Linked DNA regions of Drosophila melanogaster. The protein of the gene in region 4 interacts with the protein of the main gene of each other region in a pairwise test. Each region holds a gene or a part of one and is shown on either strand. Other genes may lie near its edges. The genes, in order: BORCS6, RpLP2, NC2alpha and CG13965.

Evidence for each region.
Region 1: the proteins of CG13965 (region 4) and BORCS6 interact in a two-hybrid assay, tested with the Drosophila melanogaster proteins (one large-scale study listed by BioGRID).
Region 2: the proteins of CG13965 (region 4) and RpLP2 interact in a two-hybrid assay, tested with the Drosophila melanogaster proteins (one large-scale study listed by BioGRID).
Region 3: the proteins of CG13965 (region 4) and NC2alpha interact in a two-hybrid assay, tested with the Drosophila melanogaster proteins (one large-scale study listed by BioGRID).

Annotation. Positions count from the first base shown.
Region 1 is NT_037436.4:539,091-543,037, reverse strand, and holds BORCS6 (BLOC-1 related complex subunit 6), read right to left. Parts: upstream 2,188-3,947; 5' UTR 2,098-2,187; exon of another isoform or gene 2,037-2,097; 5' UTR 1,998-2,036; coding exon 1,610-1,997; intron 1,554-1,609; coding exon 1,079-1,553; intron 1,022-1,078; coding exon 976-1,021; 3' UTR 891-975; downstream 1-890. Other genes in the region: Cypl (Cyclophilin-like), read left to right, coding at 186-268, 361-808.
Region 2 is NT_033778.4:16,584,401-16,587,618, reverse strand, and holds RpLP2 (ribosomal protein LP2), read right to left. Parts: upstream 1,491-3,218; 5' UTR 1,397-1,490; coding exon 1,055-1,396; 3' UTR 887-1,054; downstream 1-886. Other genes in the region: Dolk (dolichol kinase), read left to right, coding at 1-15, 108-325; Cdk4 (Cyclin-dependent kinase 4), read right to left, coding at 2,584-2,667, 2,740-2,875, 2,941-3,218. UniProt on the Drosophila melanogaster protein: Plays an important role in the elongation step of protein synthesis.
Region 3 is NT_033778.4:21,668,040-21,672,505, reverse strand, and holds NC2alpha (negative cofactor 2alpha), read right to left. Parts: upstream 2,355-4,466; 5' UTR 2,260-2,354; coding exon 2,218-2,259; intron 2,011-2,217; coding exon 1,027-2,010; 3' UTR 913-1,026; downstream 1-912. Other genes in the region: CG15676 (uncharacterized protein), read right to left, coding at 229-777; CG42381 (uncharacterized protein), read left to right, coding at 2,688-2,751, 2,813-2,969, 3,026-3,035; CG42379 (uncharacterized protein), read left to right, coding at 3,035-3,289; CG42380 (uncharacterized protein), read left to right, coding at 3,298-3,495; PIG-M (phosphatidylinositol glycan anchor biosynthesis class M), read left to right, coding at 3,518-4,466.
Region 4 is NT_033779.5:19,961,045-19,964,514, forward strand, and holds CG13965 (uncharacterized protein), read right to left. Parts: upstream 1,309-3,470; 5' UTR 1,255-1,308; coding exon 1,231-1,254; intron 1,171-1,230; coding exon 793-1,170; 3' UTR 714-792; downstream 1-713. Other genes in the region: CG42866 (uncharacterized protein), read right to left, coding at 395-535, 595-618; CG16772 (uncharacterized protein), read left to right, coding at 1,681-1,710, 1,782-2,687; CG10680 (uncharacterized protein), read left to right, coding at 3,187-3,237, 3,295-3,321, 3,382-3,470.

The DNA.
Region 1 (3,947 bases), on a different chromosome or scaffold from region 4:
GCTCACAAAAACCCTAAAAAATACCAAGGTGCGTCTATATACTATACTATATATATACCAGAAGTATACCGCAGCAGTTCAGGGTTGCCAGGCGGCCTAAGTGACTACGCTTAAGCTGGTCACTCTGACTCTGCCGGTTTTAACAATTTTACTGAAGTCTCGCTAATTTAACAACAAATATAGTTATGCTGTCCCTAAGCGATCCCAACAATGCTGGTGGCATTCCCGACAAGGCGTGGCAGCCGCACTTCGTGACCCTGGAAACGAGGTGAGTCCGGAGCTTGAATGCTCGATAATCGCCGAAACTGAAGACTGAGCATTTGTTTATCACATTATTTGTGGCATTTGTGCCCCGCGCAGCATGGGAGAAATCACCGTGGAGCTGTACTGGAAACACGCGCCCAACACCTGCCGCAACTTTGCCGAACTCTCGAGAAGGGGCTACTACAACAACGTGGTGTTCCACCGGATCATCAGGGACTTCATGATCCAGGGCGGCGATCCCACGGGCACTGGCCGCGGAGGCGCCTCCATCTACGGATCGGAGTTCGCGGACGAGCTGCACGGCGACTTGAGGCACACGGGCGCGGGCATCCTCTCGATGGCCAACTCTGGACCGGACACCAACGGGTCCCAGTTCTTCATCACGCTGGCGCCCACGCAGTGGCTGGATGGCAAGCACACGATCTTCGGCAGGGTCTACACGGGCATGGAGGTGGTCAAGCGGATCGGCATGGTGGAAACCGACAAGAACGATCGCCCCGTGGATCCCCTAAGGATCATCAAGGCCAAGGTGGAGAAGCTGTGAGCCAAGGAGGTGGATTTTTTGGAGGAACTGCTAGAATAAGTACGATTTAAACAAGCGAAAGGTATCTTTCCATATGGATTTTATAACACTGATTATATGTATTTACGGAATGACTAGAAAGACAAGATCTCTTTGATTGGTTGATCACAGGATAGCGTAGCCCTATTTTACATGGTGCTGTCCAACATGTCCACCAGCCGCTTGATCTGCCTTCTGCGGAAGAGAAAGTCCATTACACTAAAGGGATCTGTCTTGAATTGACCCACTTACATGCGCTGACCCAGCTGCTCTGTGGGTTTCATCGACTTGGTGATTTCCTCCGCCTTGGCCAGCAATTGGTACTGGCACTTGATATTCGCGTCCAAAGTGTCCGTCAGCTTGTTGACCGCGTTGCGATGGACCTCCACGTTGTCGGCCGTTATGGAGGAGATTGAGTGCAGCAGGTTGCCCAGGTTTTCCATCAGATTGTCCACCGAGCTGGCCAAGTACTGAGCCTCCAGTTCGATGTCGCTCAAGACGCTGCCGTCCACTTCGGGAATGTTGCGCGACTGCAGGAACCGCCGCGTGAGCAGACCGTTGCCGGAAGTGGCTCCAATGGGACCCATGGAGCTCAGGGGCGTGGTGTGCTCCGAGGAGTAGGCCGAAGCCGCCACGCGCTCGCGCAACTTGGCCTCTAGATCGTGGGCCACAAAGTGGCGCATCCCGTCGGAGTCACTGGTTTCGCCGTCCAGCTCGTAGGGCACAGCTGAAAGAAGGAAGATGCTTTAGTCAGGAACTATGGGTAGATAACCTAGAACCCACTGCTCTCTGCCTTCAGTCTGTGCCTTTCGATGTCGCCGGAACTGCCCTTAGAGTTGCTATTCGAGTTGCTGTTGTCCTCCTCCTCCAAGGGATCGTCTTCCTCGTCGGGATCCTCGCCCGAATCCAGGTTAAGGTATTTCTCGCCGTTGGGTCTTGTCTTTGTGCTTCCGGGAATCGCAGCATGGCCAGTGGCTGTGGGCGTCAGATCCTGGAGCACGTGCTCTGGCACCGCTCCCGGATACTGAGCCAGGAACGGAATTTCCGTGTAGGAGGAGGCGGGCGTGGCTCCGGATCCAGAACTCCTGGCTGCCCCTTCCGATGGGCCACTCTCCTCGGCCACATAACCGTAACGTGGGCGGATGGGAATGTCCTGGTGGCGGTGCGACATTCTGCACTGCTCTTTTCAATCCAAGGAACTTTAGGCAGACTAAGAAATGTATGTCAATTTTCTGAATGAAAACCAAAACAAAGCATTTACTGGTATATACCAAATGGTTATCGATAACATCTATTTATCGAATGTATTTGCATTAGGCCCTGTTCAGGCTGAGGTCCACCTTACCTATATCGAGCCTTTTTTACGTAGGATTGACCTATGCAACTTGATGTGCGTAAACTATATTTTCCTAACCCTGATGGAAATTTCGGTTTTAGTGAGAAACAGATTTCAGATGTTATTTGGTTGAGTATATGACAGTTCGATAGTATCGCACACTTACTCTTCACGATTTTGCTTTTACCAAGAAATGGTCACACTCCAGCTCGCACTATCGAGTCATCGATAGGACCGATAGGCCAGCCCGTTAAATCGAAGACAGTCGTGTTTATAATTTGCGGCTCCGAGGTGTGCGGCGCGCATTGGGCAGACTGGAGTGAACTAAGTAAATCTGCAGCGTTCTAATTTAATTGCGCGATGAGCGCGTAAAAACACACCTGCGTAGCGCTGCAATAAAACCAATGTAGATTTTTGTTTATATGTTCGCGTTTCCATCGTATTTTTCGAGTCTTATTCGTTTTAATTGTTAGTGCTCGTACGCTAAGTGAATTGCTAGCAACTTGGGGCTAAAAGTGCCAAAAAGAGCCAGAATCGAAAAGAAGCGGCTAAAGAGGAATAAGCGAAAAGGAAGCAACGAAAACGGTGTTTTGCTCTCTTTCTCCTCTCTCATCCTCGCCATGTGTGTGCGTGTGCAAATGTGTGTGTTGGCGTCGCTAAAAAAGTGCATGTGAAGATTAGGAAAATAATAAGGAAGGCAACGAAAAGTAAAATAAAATTTGATGTACAAAATACGCAAATTGGTGACAAACAATGTACAAGTGGCATACATGAAATAAAGTTTTATGCAAAAAAAACAAAATCGACTGCAGTGCGTGCACTTGTGTGTATGTGCCGCTGCATATGTGTATGTGTGCAGTGTGGAAATAAAGCAAGAGAGAAAAAAAAACTGTTTGCAGCCGGGGTACAAATTCCAATTGGAGTCTCAAGGAGCATAAATTCCCATTCGACGCATGCGTGGCTGCTAAAAAAAGCAAGTAAGTTAAATTGTTTGTACTAAAGAATCTTATAAAATGCAACTGAAAATGGATAAAAGTGTAAAAAAAAGGAAAGACTTTTTTGCCTTCTCTGTTTTCTACGGGTACGTACGAATGTGTGTGTGTGTGTGCTCTCTTCTATTTTGTTCTTGACTTCTTGTTCTTTTCTTCTTCTTGGCCAGTTACTCTTATGCTTTGTCTTTCTTCTCAGGCCGTTCTGCTTCTTTCTTTTAACTGCAAATTGTGCAGTCAGCAAGTATGAGAGCGAGAAAGAGACAGCGATCTTTCTTTTTCACCCACCCACTTCTTCCCCTCTTCCTCTAGCGGTTATATTCGCTTTATTGTATTGGTGCTTTTCCTATCTATATCTACCGTTATGTTTCGATTGCGATTTCGTAATAACTGCGATAATATTTGCTCTCTCTCGCTCTTCTTCTCTTTCGGCTTTCCACTCTCTTCCCTTTTAGTTATGTGTGTGTAACTGCACATTTGAATTGTTGTTGTTTTTATTAAAATGCGTGGGTTGATTTTTCAATCAATCAATCAATCGTTTATTTTGGCATCGATAATATGGAAAAGTGGATTGATATGTGGACAAGAAAAGCATGTGATGAATCAGGAGAAAGGAATTACTCGATAATTAGCTTCTAACTTTTATATTCTGTAAAAAAATGTATTTTTAAACGTCTAAATCCAATAGGAAAAACAAGCAAGTTGGTCGAAAATAAAAGAACTCAATTTCTGGATCCTTGTTTTGTTAAGTATTTCCCTATTTCGCACTTTAAATTCCATTCCATTTCTATAAACA
Region 2 (3,218 bases), on a different chromosome or scaffold from region 4:
GCAACAAGTGGGGAAGTAAGTAGAATGAACTGAAAGATACACTGATCTTTCAATGCGTTCATTCGCATATATAAGATTCTATTTTAACACGCGTGCCATACTTCTAGGATCTTCCCGATCCCTGGAGGGCACCATTGCGTTCGTGGTGTCCATTCTCATGGCCGTCTGGCTCCTGGAGATTTCCGGCCTGGTGGCCATGAGCCAGGCCAAGTGGTTCGCCACCATTTTCGCAGCACTGAATTCGGCTCTGGTGGAGGCGTTCACCGACCAGGTGGACAACCTGGTACTACCCCTGATATTCTATACCATTGTGGGCCTGGCCTAAATAGAATGCATATTTATGTAAATTAGTTTTAGTGTACGCATTCCTCGGTGTATTTATATATAAAACTACTTATTAAGAATGTTTATAAAACTCTATATTCCATATTATATTTTGACGAACTTTTATGGGACTAAAAAGAAGTACTTCCCTAAAAATGTATATGCTACCTTTCTAATCCAACACAAAGCTATAAGTTTGATATTTTGTTTAGTTTAGATAATATTTATAAATACAAGATTTCTAGAACCGGACAGCAGGTTATTTTATATCTTTACCAATATGTCATCTCGTCTTCTGATCCATTTTTGCCCTTCTGAAAGTGTAGTTACTAATTTCCATCTATTTTGTTTGTTATACACAAGGTCTAAAAAATATCTAAAAATCCAATAAGAATGCGCTGTCTTAACAGTGCACCCCGCCGACTGTTAAGTTAACATAATCCACTCCGTAGGCGTCCAACAGAATGTTAGCCAACACGTGGATCCACTGTTATGGGTGAAAAAACGGCACAAAAACCATGAAAATAACCGCATAAACGGCACAAAAAACACAATTTCACTTGGTTTATATAAAGTGCAAACACTGCTGATTTTTATTACGTAGAAATGGTGAACGGATGGGTGCTACACAAGTGTGTAGACTGGCCGGCCATGTATGAATGGCTGCTCCAGAACGCTGCTTTCTCGCCTCGCAAGTGTGTTGCACAGTATATTCGCCACATTCAACCGCTTATTCGAAGAGAGCGAAGCCCATGTCGTCATCCTCGGACTCGGACTCCTCCTTCTTCTCCTCCTTCTTGGCCTCCTTCTTGTCGCCACCGGCGGCGGCAGCGGGTGCGGCATCAGCGGCTGCGACGGCACCACCGCCGCCCACCGGCATCGAGGAGAGCTTCTCGCGACCCTCCTTGATCAGGTCGTCGATGCTCTTGCCAGCCAGCTCCTTGATGACCTTGGTCAGACGCTCGGCGTCGACCTCAACGCCCACAGAGCTGAGGATCTTCTCCAGATCGCTGTTGGCGGGCGAGTCCTTGCCACCGAGGACGGCCAGAAGGTAAGCAGCCACGTAACGCATGTTTAAGTCTTGGGTTCTTGACACGAAACGTGAATTGGCAAAATGTACGAAAAACACAACTTTCCTTTGCAAGTTGTCGTCGAAAAAGAGGCGGAAGTCAGTGTGGCCGCGCGGTCGAGGCTCGAAAATACCAGCTCATACTTATATATACCAAAGTATACCACATCCTTATCTAGCAATACCCCTAATGAAACGATAAATTCAAATATTATTTTCAATTTTGCTTTTAAATAAAAATTAGAGCAATATTATTGATTTTTGAACAATTTGGTGTGTTTTTTTTATATTTACAACATCAAAAAGTATTTATATTAGCTTAATAATATGACCTTTCTTACAGCATGGAAATGTTATCAGTTGCAACACTGGGTTTCAAACTTGGCTATCGTAATAGTGGGAAGCACTTTGCTCTTGCAGTAGGCGGTCACACCATTTGAAACGGTTCTGTTAGGCGAGGTCTAACATACTGTTAAGTGCTGGAAAGAGAGCAAAATGAGAGTGATCGTAAGCTAAGAGAAGGAACTAGGGATGCGTAAAAGTTAACAGCTGGCTATCGATGATTAACATGACCATCGTTTTAACAGCAGAACTTAACTGTTATTTGTACACATAAATATAAAACTGTAATAAAACTCGAAAAAGCTGTATAAAAAATAAATTTTTTTCGAAAATATGTTTAATATGAGATATTTATTATTCTTCAAAAACACTTTAAATTTAAGTTGCACCCCCACTTGAAATAAATTGCAGAAAAGACATGAGACCCATCTTATTGTATGCTGTATATATAATTGCATATATAAATGATTGTTGTACAAAATTTTGAAATTGTATAATGCATTCCTGAACTTTGTGTATCACATTTCGATTTGGAGGGCCTTCAAACGCCCTCGAGAATCGTTTCACATGTAATGGTCATCAGATAGTTGATCGGCAGTAGTATTCACACTTAACTTACGACTACAAACAAATTAAGGTATTCTTTATTCCGGATCCGTATCCCCGGACACAATAACTGGACTGTCGCGAAAAAATAAACAAAATGCTTCACTACACTTAAAGGAACATTGGTAACAAGAACGAAGCGCGGCCGCAATGATCAGTCCACTGCCACTTTCACTTCCACATCCATAATCCATAATCCATAATCCATAATCCATTATCCATTATCCTTCTGGGCATCGAGACTATAGGGGTTCCTGCTGAAAGTAATCGTGCTCCAAACAGGCCAAGGCGGATGGTCGCAGGTGGAGGTCGTAGGAAAGCATTTTCTGCGGGCAAACATAGGGTATGCGTTAGTCTAGACCATGCAACAAGATATGTATCTTCATTTTCATACTCACATTCAACAGATCATCGGCGTACTTGCACAGGTGTGGGCAAAAGTCTTTTGGTCTCTTTGGATGCCGCTGGGGAAAGTGTTCCAGGGCCACGGAAATGGTCTGTGGCCACTGTTGCTCGGTGGGTCTACCGGTCAGTCTGCGTGAAATCGCATAAATGTAATTAAAAATCACCGATTTCAATGGCAGTATTTGTGCACTCACTCGAAGATGCGGTCCAGCTGATTCTTTTCGGAGGTGCCCGGGAATAGGGCGCGCCGATTGAACATCTCGAAGATGATGCAGGCGGCACTCCAGATGTCCACGGTGCTGTTGTAGGGCTGGGCGAGCAGAACCTCGGGTGCGCGGTACCACAAGGTGACCACCACGGAGGTGAGCTTCATCTCCGAACCGTAGGTCTTGGCCAAGCCAAAGTCGGCGATCTTGAGGTGGCCCTGCGAGGAGACCAGCAGGTTTTGCGGCTTAAGATCCCGATGGATGAT
Region 3 (4,466 bases), on a different chromosome or scaffold from region 4:
AAGGTCACATTTTGTAGGGCACAGTCTGGGATCCTACGGTCCCGATACTCTGACCTCTTTACCGGGCTGCTAATAATGTAATTGTAATGAATGAATTAGTGGGGAACTCCAAGGGAGAGCTGTACTTCGTTGGAAATTAAGGCATTTAGACAATAAAGACTTATTTAGAACGAATGTCTTTATAAGCAACTACAAGGTACTAGCAATTTTAAGGATGGTGGGATGCTTCTAGTTCTCCACTTCATGTTTATACAATACGGCTAGGTTCATCTCAATCGTGTTCACCTGATCCTGCAGATAGTCGATATCGTGCTCATGTTGCAATTGCTGCTTCACCAGGCTGGTGATGTCCTTTTTGATGAACTCCTCCGCCTCGGACAGCTCGAATTCCATTTGCAGAGATGCGCCCACTTGAAGGGTAACCTTTTGCACTGGCGGTATGCTCACCCATCTGAATACTCCCTGTGCGATTTGCACGAGGCTGTGAACTTCCTTGTCAGGATTGTCTATGAACCTCCTCACCAATTCCAAATTATTTTTGGCAGCCTCCAAACGGGTTAACACTGCTGTGAGGTCAGTCTCCAACTTGGCAGCCAGTTCGCTGTATTGCACATAGAAAAGGCGTTGCATCTTCAATGCCGCTGGAACAGTCGAATAGAACTCTGGCTTGGCGATGTAGCTGACGACATCGTCAACTAACTTGGCCTCTGGGATGGGCATAAATGACTTTCGGCCGCCCAGAGGCGGCTTTTTTATGGTGTCTATGAATGCAAACATTTTCAATAATTGTTGAACTTGTTTAGTACATCTAATTCAAAGATAAACTGATTTAATATCGTATGCAAATTAAACAGCATTATCTGCTAGAATGTATAAATTTTCTTTCTCTATTTAAAGTACTCCGCATTGCGTCAGCTTAAAATCCAGCATGGTCTTTATTTTGCAAAAAATGTTATTGTGATTTCTTAGACCTAGAGTACATATTAATGTATCAATAATTTAAAAGCGCATTCACATAGATCCTAATCAAATATTGTCATAGTCTTCGTCTAATTCGAAAACGGTTTCAGTGGGGGTCGCTGATGCCGCTGTGGCCTTTGGAATGATGGGAGCGCTGCTCTTTCCAGCCATTTGGTTCACATTATTGTTGTCCCCCGGCGTGGCCGCTGGTAATCCAATAGAGGCGGGGGGCACACCACTGCCAGGTGCTCCACCGGCCACGATATTCGTCAGATCGATATTGATCACCGGAGCAGCTATGTCGAAGTTAAAAGCTCCAGATCCGGCGCCCGATCCTGACCCAGAATCAGAGGCGTCCGGTGTGCACAGGTTCGCCGTCGGCATTTGCACGTGGCTGTAGTCGATCTTGACAATGGGCTTGTTGAGTTCGTAGTTGCAGATCGGGGCGGGTATGGCAGTATCGAGCTGCACCGACTGTTTCTTGAGGTGATTGGGCGGTCTGCCCCGTGGCGTGTAGGCCGGCATGGACCCGGAGCGGGCCAGCTTGGCGGGCAGGGTGGTGCTGGTGGTGGGAGTTTCCTGGGTGGAGTGCTGCGACTGAAACTGCCGCTTGGTGGCTGCGGCTCCTCCGCCCGATCCGGCTCCGTTGTTCAGACTCATGGAGCGCATGTAGGCAGCTGTGCCGTTCGCCTGCGAGCGCATTGACGTCGATGGCAGGCTAAGATCATATGGCGTGTCTGAATCTGGATACTGTTCCTCTGGCGAGCTGCGTAACACATCGTCCTCGTTGTAGGCGGCCTCCTCGGCCACACTGATGTCGGGTATGTTGCGGACCAGCTCCTTGAGGAAGTCAAAGCGTTTCTCGGATACGATACACTGCCTCATGTGCGATGGCGATAGCGTCTTGGCGTTGCGCGCATTCGTGATGCGCAGCGTCTTGGTCAGCAGCGACTCCACGAAGAGCTCCAGCGTGCGTGAGATGATAACAGGCACCGCCTGGGCCACCTTCCCGATTTCCTCGTCGCTTTGCATGATCTTCTTGATGCGACCCTGCAAGGAGTTTATGGTAATGGTTTGGAAACATTATAATCTCGCACCGGTTTGGTTTCTCCTCTACTTCTTTTGAGCCTCTGATTATGCGAGGCGTGTATGTACATATGTATGTACACATGCACGAAAACTGATAACCCATCTTCGGCGTTCACGGCCGCCAAATGGCTGGAGCTTTCCTGTCGCCAATCGGTGGTTTCAACTTACCGCCGGAAAGCGTGCGTTGTATTTTTTCTTTTTCGATGGCATTTTCCGATTTGTGAAGTAATCGTCAAGAGTCCTAGTGAAATAAAACAAATGTGTGTGTGTTTTTCACACAAGAACAGTTCCTTGGTGCCCAACTGTCGGCGTCGATGGGTGAATGGCAGTTGCTCTCGCAGCAGGCGGGGTATTCACAGGGAAGCAAAAGGTATTAATATCAAAATTTGAAAGATTAAAAATTTTTGTACATTATAAGAGATGTTATTTCTTTTTGTTGTTATTTATGTGATTGTTTTTTATTTTGCTTTGATGTATTAGGTTTCCTACACAGCTGACCGTCGCGCAGTCTGGCTACCTTGATCGTGCACTGTGAATGACTACAACCGCCAAGAAGAAGAAGAGTGCAGAACACTTCCAAGTACTTTTCACATATTGCAAGAGCGATTTAATATCGTAAGAATTCTGGGCAGGATTACATGTCTGACACTCGCAAGGATCCCTGCAAACCGAACGCCTGCCGCATACAAGCCTGTCTGACCAGTAAGCACCGCCGGTGACTCCATTTTCATGGTTATGTAAGCTGACTTGCACTCGGTTACAGAGAATCACTACCAGGAGGACAAGTGCTTGGATGTCCTTGAGGCAATGCGCCAGTGCTGTTTAAAGTGGCACAAGGAATCGCTTTGCTGCAGTGGAATCGATTTGGAGAAGACTTATCTACCAGACGCATCCAAGGAAAAGAACGCAACCGGCAAGTCGTGAGTTGTAGCCAACTTCTCTATTCCATATACACTATTATCAACTCGTTTTGCAGGAACAAATAATGTCCATACCGCAGTATAGGCCTCCGAAGGAAATTCAAGACTTGCTGGACCAAAAGGAGCAACAGCAAGCAAATCAGCGCAGGCGAACCGCTGTGCTACCCAAACGCACGTGGATTCAGCGAAATCCACGCCTGTTCCAGATCTCCTTCATCACAGGCTCACTTCTGATCTTCTTCTCCAAGCCCCTGTTTGACTGCTTTATCGCCGATCCCCTACCACCGCCGGAGAACAAAGTTCCGCCTCACAAGCGCTAAGCTAAGGCATGGAATCGGTGCGCAAAGCCAACCAAAGAATCCGCAACTATCCAGTTCTGCTAAGCAAGTGCGCGGACAAAGCCACTGCGTATGCGGTTTGCGTGTCGCGTGATCTAAACGTGCAGCACAAAATCTGCGACACCGAGTTCAAGGAGTTCCTAAGCTGTATCCGCAAGACCGCTTTGGAAATGAAGACCAAGCTTTAGACAAACGTAAACAATAAACACGATGACTCAAACAAAGGCTGCGACCACTGGATGGCAGCGACTGGGTCGCCGCATCCTTTACACTAGCTTTCGGACCCATCTACTAATATCCGCCCTGCTGCGAATAGCTTTAATTTGCTACGGACAATTACACGACAGTCAGTCCGCCGTGCCCTACACCGATATAGACTACAAGGTGGTGACTGATGGAGCCCGTCAAGTTCTGGCTGGGGACACACCCTTCGCCAGGCATACTTACCGATATAGCCCAATCATGGCATATCTGCAGACTTTTAACATCCTGCTTCATCCGGCGTGGGGTAAACTACTGTATGCGACATTCGATCTTCTCATCGCCACACTTATTTACCGTCTGGTGCACATGGAAATCAAGAGTCAGTACCAGAAGACCGTACAACACCTGCTTAGCAAGTTCAACAGGCCACGGGACTCGGACCAATCGCTGGATGCCCTGGATGAGCGAAGTCATCCAGAGAACTTGGCCCGCGCCTCTGCTTGCTTTTGGTTATACAACCCGCTGACGGCTGTAATATCCACACGTGGAAGCGGCGATTGCTTCTCAAGCTTCTTCGTGATACTAACTATATACCTGCTGTTAAAATCTGAGCACAATGTCACCAGGAGTTACTGGCTTATATTCGGAGCGGGCTTGGCTCACGGTCTAGTGATACACCTCCGTCTGTATCCGTTGCTATTCAGTTTGGCATACTATTTATCGCTATCAACGCGGCTGACACAAACTCCCCTCGACTTCCTGTGCCAAATCCTGCGGCCCAACAAGCAACAACTGTGCCTGATAAGTGGAACATTGATCAGCCTAGTGGCCTTCACTTGGACCTTCTACACAATGTACGGTTGGGAATATATATATGAAGCGTACCTGTACCACTTCGTACGCAAGGACCCGCGACACAACTTCTCGCTGCAGTTCCTTCTACAGTACCTGGGCA
Region 4 (3,470 bases):
GACAAATTACTTATACGTTAAATCACAATTAAGTGGGCTGAGATGTATTATGGAACCAATCGATTTCCCATTAGTCACTTATCTCAAAATAGAAAAAAAAACAACATATTTTTAAAAGGGGGTTACTCATTCTAAAGAAAGGGTCAATTTATATTTATAAAATCCATTTCTCCTCATTTGAAATGTATATCGCTTGGATAGCAACAATTAATGCGATTCAATTTATTATTTACACATTCGAACAGTGGAAATGTTCAATTAAGCAGTGATCCATTGATATGATGAACAAGGCTTCCGCTTCCCATTGTCTGGCGAGATCCGAGGCATTATGGCCCTGTGAACGACTTTGCAACGGGCCATAAGTAATCGCGTGCAATCCCAACCTTGTCGGACATCAGATGGAGTTACGTTGTTTATGGTGGTGCCTCACACGTGCTGGCCAGTTTTTCCAGCGCTTTTCCTTCTCGATGTTGTGGTATCCATCGTGGCCCACGACATGTCTGGGCACTACTAGCTCCAGGGACAAAAAGAGGCACTGATGTGAAAATATAATATATACGATAAAAATGTTACTATTTCTTTATCTCTACTTACCAAGCAGAAAAAAATCAACCGCATTGGGAAACAATAGACTGGCGACTAATTCAATTCGTCATCTGTGAAGTTCTTGGTAAAACCACATAGGGTGTTCCCGAATTTCGACGGAATATATTAAAATTATTTAGTTTTTTATTCAATAATCTTCAGAGATTGGTCACAAAACGAAAGGGTATAATGGGATATACATATGAGCTAGGGACGTGGCGTGGTAAAGGCATCGTTCCAGCTTGCCCAATGCTTCTCCGTCTTCAGGCTGTGGAAGCCATCATGTGCTCTAACGTGTCGAGGTCCCTTTATATGGCTTCCTGGCTTCACAAATGGATCTCCTCCATTTTCAGGGTCAGGCGAGCCGTTCGGGTCTGGGTTGTCCGTGCTATTAACCATATCGGTGCTATTTGTTGGTGATTCTGTGACCTCCGACCCCGCTTCTGTGGTCTGAGTTAATTCTCCGATGGAACTGGCTTCTGTAACTGGAGACGTTTCGCCATCTGTTGGGGACGCTGGAGATGATTCAGCCGCAGGGGTTTCCTGAGCCTCGAGCGCGGCTACCAAGAATATAGCGATTCCAATCTAGAACAAAGAAACGTTCGATTATGTGCAATAATGAGGGAATGCCCCATTGGCACTCACCAGCTTCAGTTCAAGTTTCGCCATGCCTATCGTCACACCTGACACATAGTATGTGTACCTATACTGCGTCGAAACCAGAAGCGCCGACTGGGCAAAGCCACCTTTTATAGTCGCTGCGCAGGTGGAATCGATTGGAGCAGTTCTAAATTGATTGCGGGAATCGCTGCCTGGTTCTGCGGGCAGAACTAATTCTCTTAGTGACCAACTGATAGATGGCGATCTTTAATTTGCGAACGCAGTCCGGGAAATTCCGGCAGACGCATCCAACACCTGATGCCAATCGGGTTTTTCGAGAGAGATAGAGAGCTGATTGCTCTGGGGCTGTCTGTAATTGTTGGCTTACCGATTTCCATAATGGTGGGCGATTCTGGAGCTATATAAGTCAGCTATGGCCGGCAGAGAACAATCAGTTTTCGCTTGGCCCTTGCTAGTTGAACTCAGTCGGTTGGGATGTTCATCAAGTTGCTTCTAATTAGCCAGGTTGGTGCCAGATCTTGGCCAGGACAAAATGGCTCGAACTATGATTAACTTAACATACATTTTAATTCTAGCTGCTGGCGCTGAGTTACGCTCAGTTGTCGCTCGACGAGGCTAAAAAGCAAATCGATGCCTCGCTTTACAGCGAAGAGGAGACTACCGATGATACGCATCTGCCGGAGCCCCACCTGCCCCCCCAATATCAGCCTCATCATCCCCACAAGAAGGTGACCACCACCACTCCCGAGCCGGAAACCACAACTCCAAAGCCAGAAACCACCACGAAGCCCGCAATAGAGCAGGAGGGTGAGGCCACCGCTGCTCCCGATGACGGACTGGGTCAACTGGATGATGGCTTGCAACAAAACAATGATGGATCTGCGCTTCCAGAGTCCACCACTCCGGAACCGGAAACCACGACCCCTACGACGACCACCACCACAACGCCAAAGCCCCATAAGCATGAGCCCCACTTTCATCCCCATTCTTATCCGCATCCTCACCCCTATCCCTACCCCATTCAGTATCCCTACCCCCATCCAGGAGTGATATTCTCTGCCGCGGGACCTAAGCTTACTCCTCCATCGACCACACCGCCCACTGCCAAAGATGCGGACAAGGAATCGCCGGAGCTGTCTGGATATCCCTCCTATCCGACCTTCAGATCACCGTACTCGCCCTACCAACCCCAGGTGTTCCCTCAGCCTCGTAACTGGCCCAGCTTCCCAGGATACGGACCTCCCAGTCCCGGTTTCGGATACCCCCACAACCACAATCACGATCACGAAGAAGACTCCGGCGAAGATAAGCCCAAGGACAAGTCTGGTGAAAAGGATAAGGACGAGGATGTGGCTCTGAAGCCACCAGGATTTAGCTACCCGCAGGTCTATTTGATTCCCCGAAGACCAGTGATCTCTGTGCCCAGCTTTCCGCGTCCAGGAGGCGGATATGGTTCGCCCTACGGCTACGGACTCTACTAACACTCTCCGATAAATACTGTGAAAAATCTCCGAGTCCAGATAGTCAATAATATCTTAGTTTTATTTCAATCTTGAAATGTACTTCCTAACACAATAAACAACTTTTAGATTATATTTTCATGAGTTTTTAATATTTGCATATAATATTTAATGCTTTCGATCGTGTAAATCTGAGTACAAGGTTCTTCACTGAATGTGGGACTGCTTGGAGTTTTCTTTCGGTGCATTAAGAACTAGTAAGTAAGTTAAAGGCTCCTAGATTCGGGAAAATGATAATTGATGATTTGCGCATATGAGATTGAGTTATGGGCTTCTGATTTCCCTATCGTGTAATCCCCAGGCTGATAACCCCGGGCCCCGACGCTCTCACCTTGGTGATTTCCAGTCGAACGGGTTGGGATCGTGGTTGCATTTAATTGCAGCGCATTCCACCCAGTCAACTCATAGTTCTGTCGATCGTCGGAAGTTCGAGACGTGAGTGTCAGTCGAGATCTGCGAGATGTTGCCGCTCCAATTCGTTTTGCTGGGCTGTCTGTTCATCGCTCAGGGGGTAACTATTCATCGGTTTGTTCCACAATTTAGGCTTCAATGAGTTCTATATTTTCAGATATGCCACACTCTGCCGGATCCCAAGGTAAGTTTGCTAGCAAACAATTTAGATAGTATCTTCTTTGCAATATTCCATAATCCACAGCTAAGGGTGCCTCGTGAAACTATCAACATTCCCACGCATCTCTTCAAGCCAGTGAGTCCGAAATCGAGCAACAAACCTATTTCTAATAG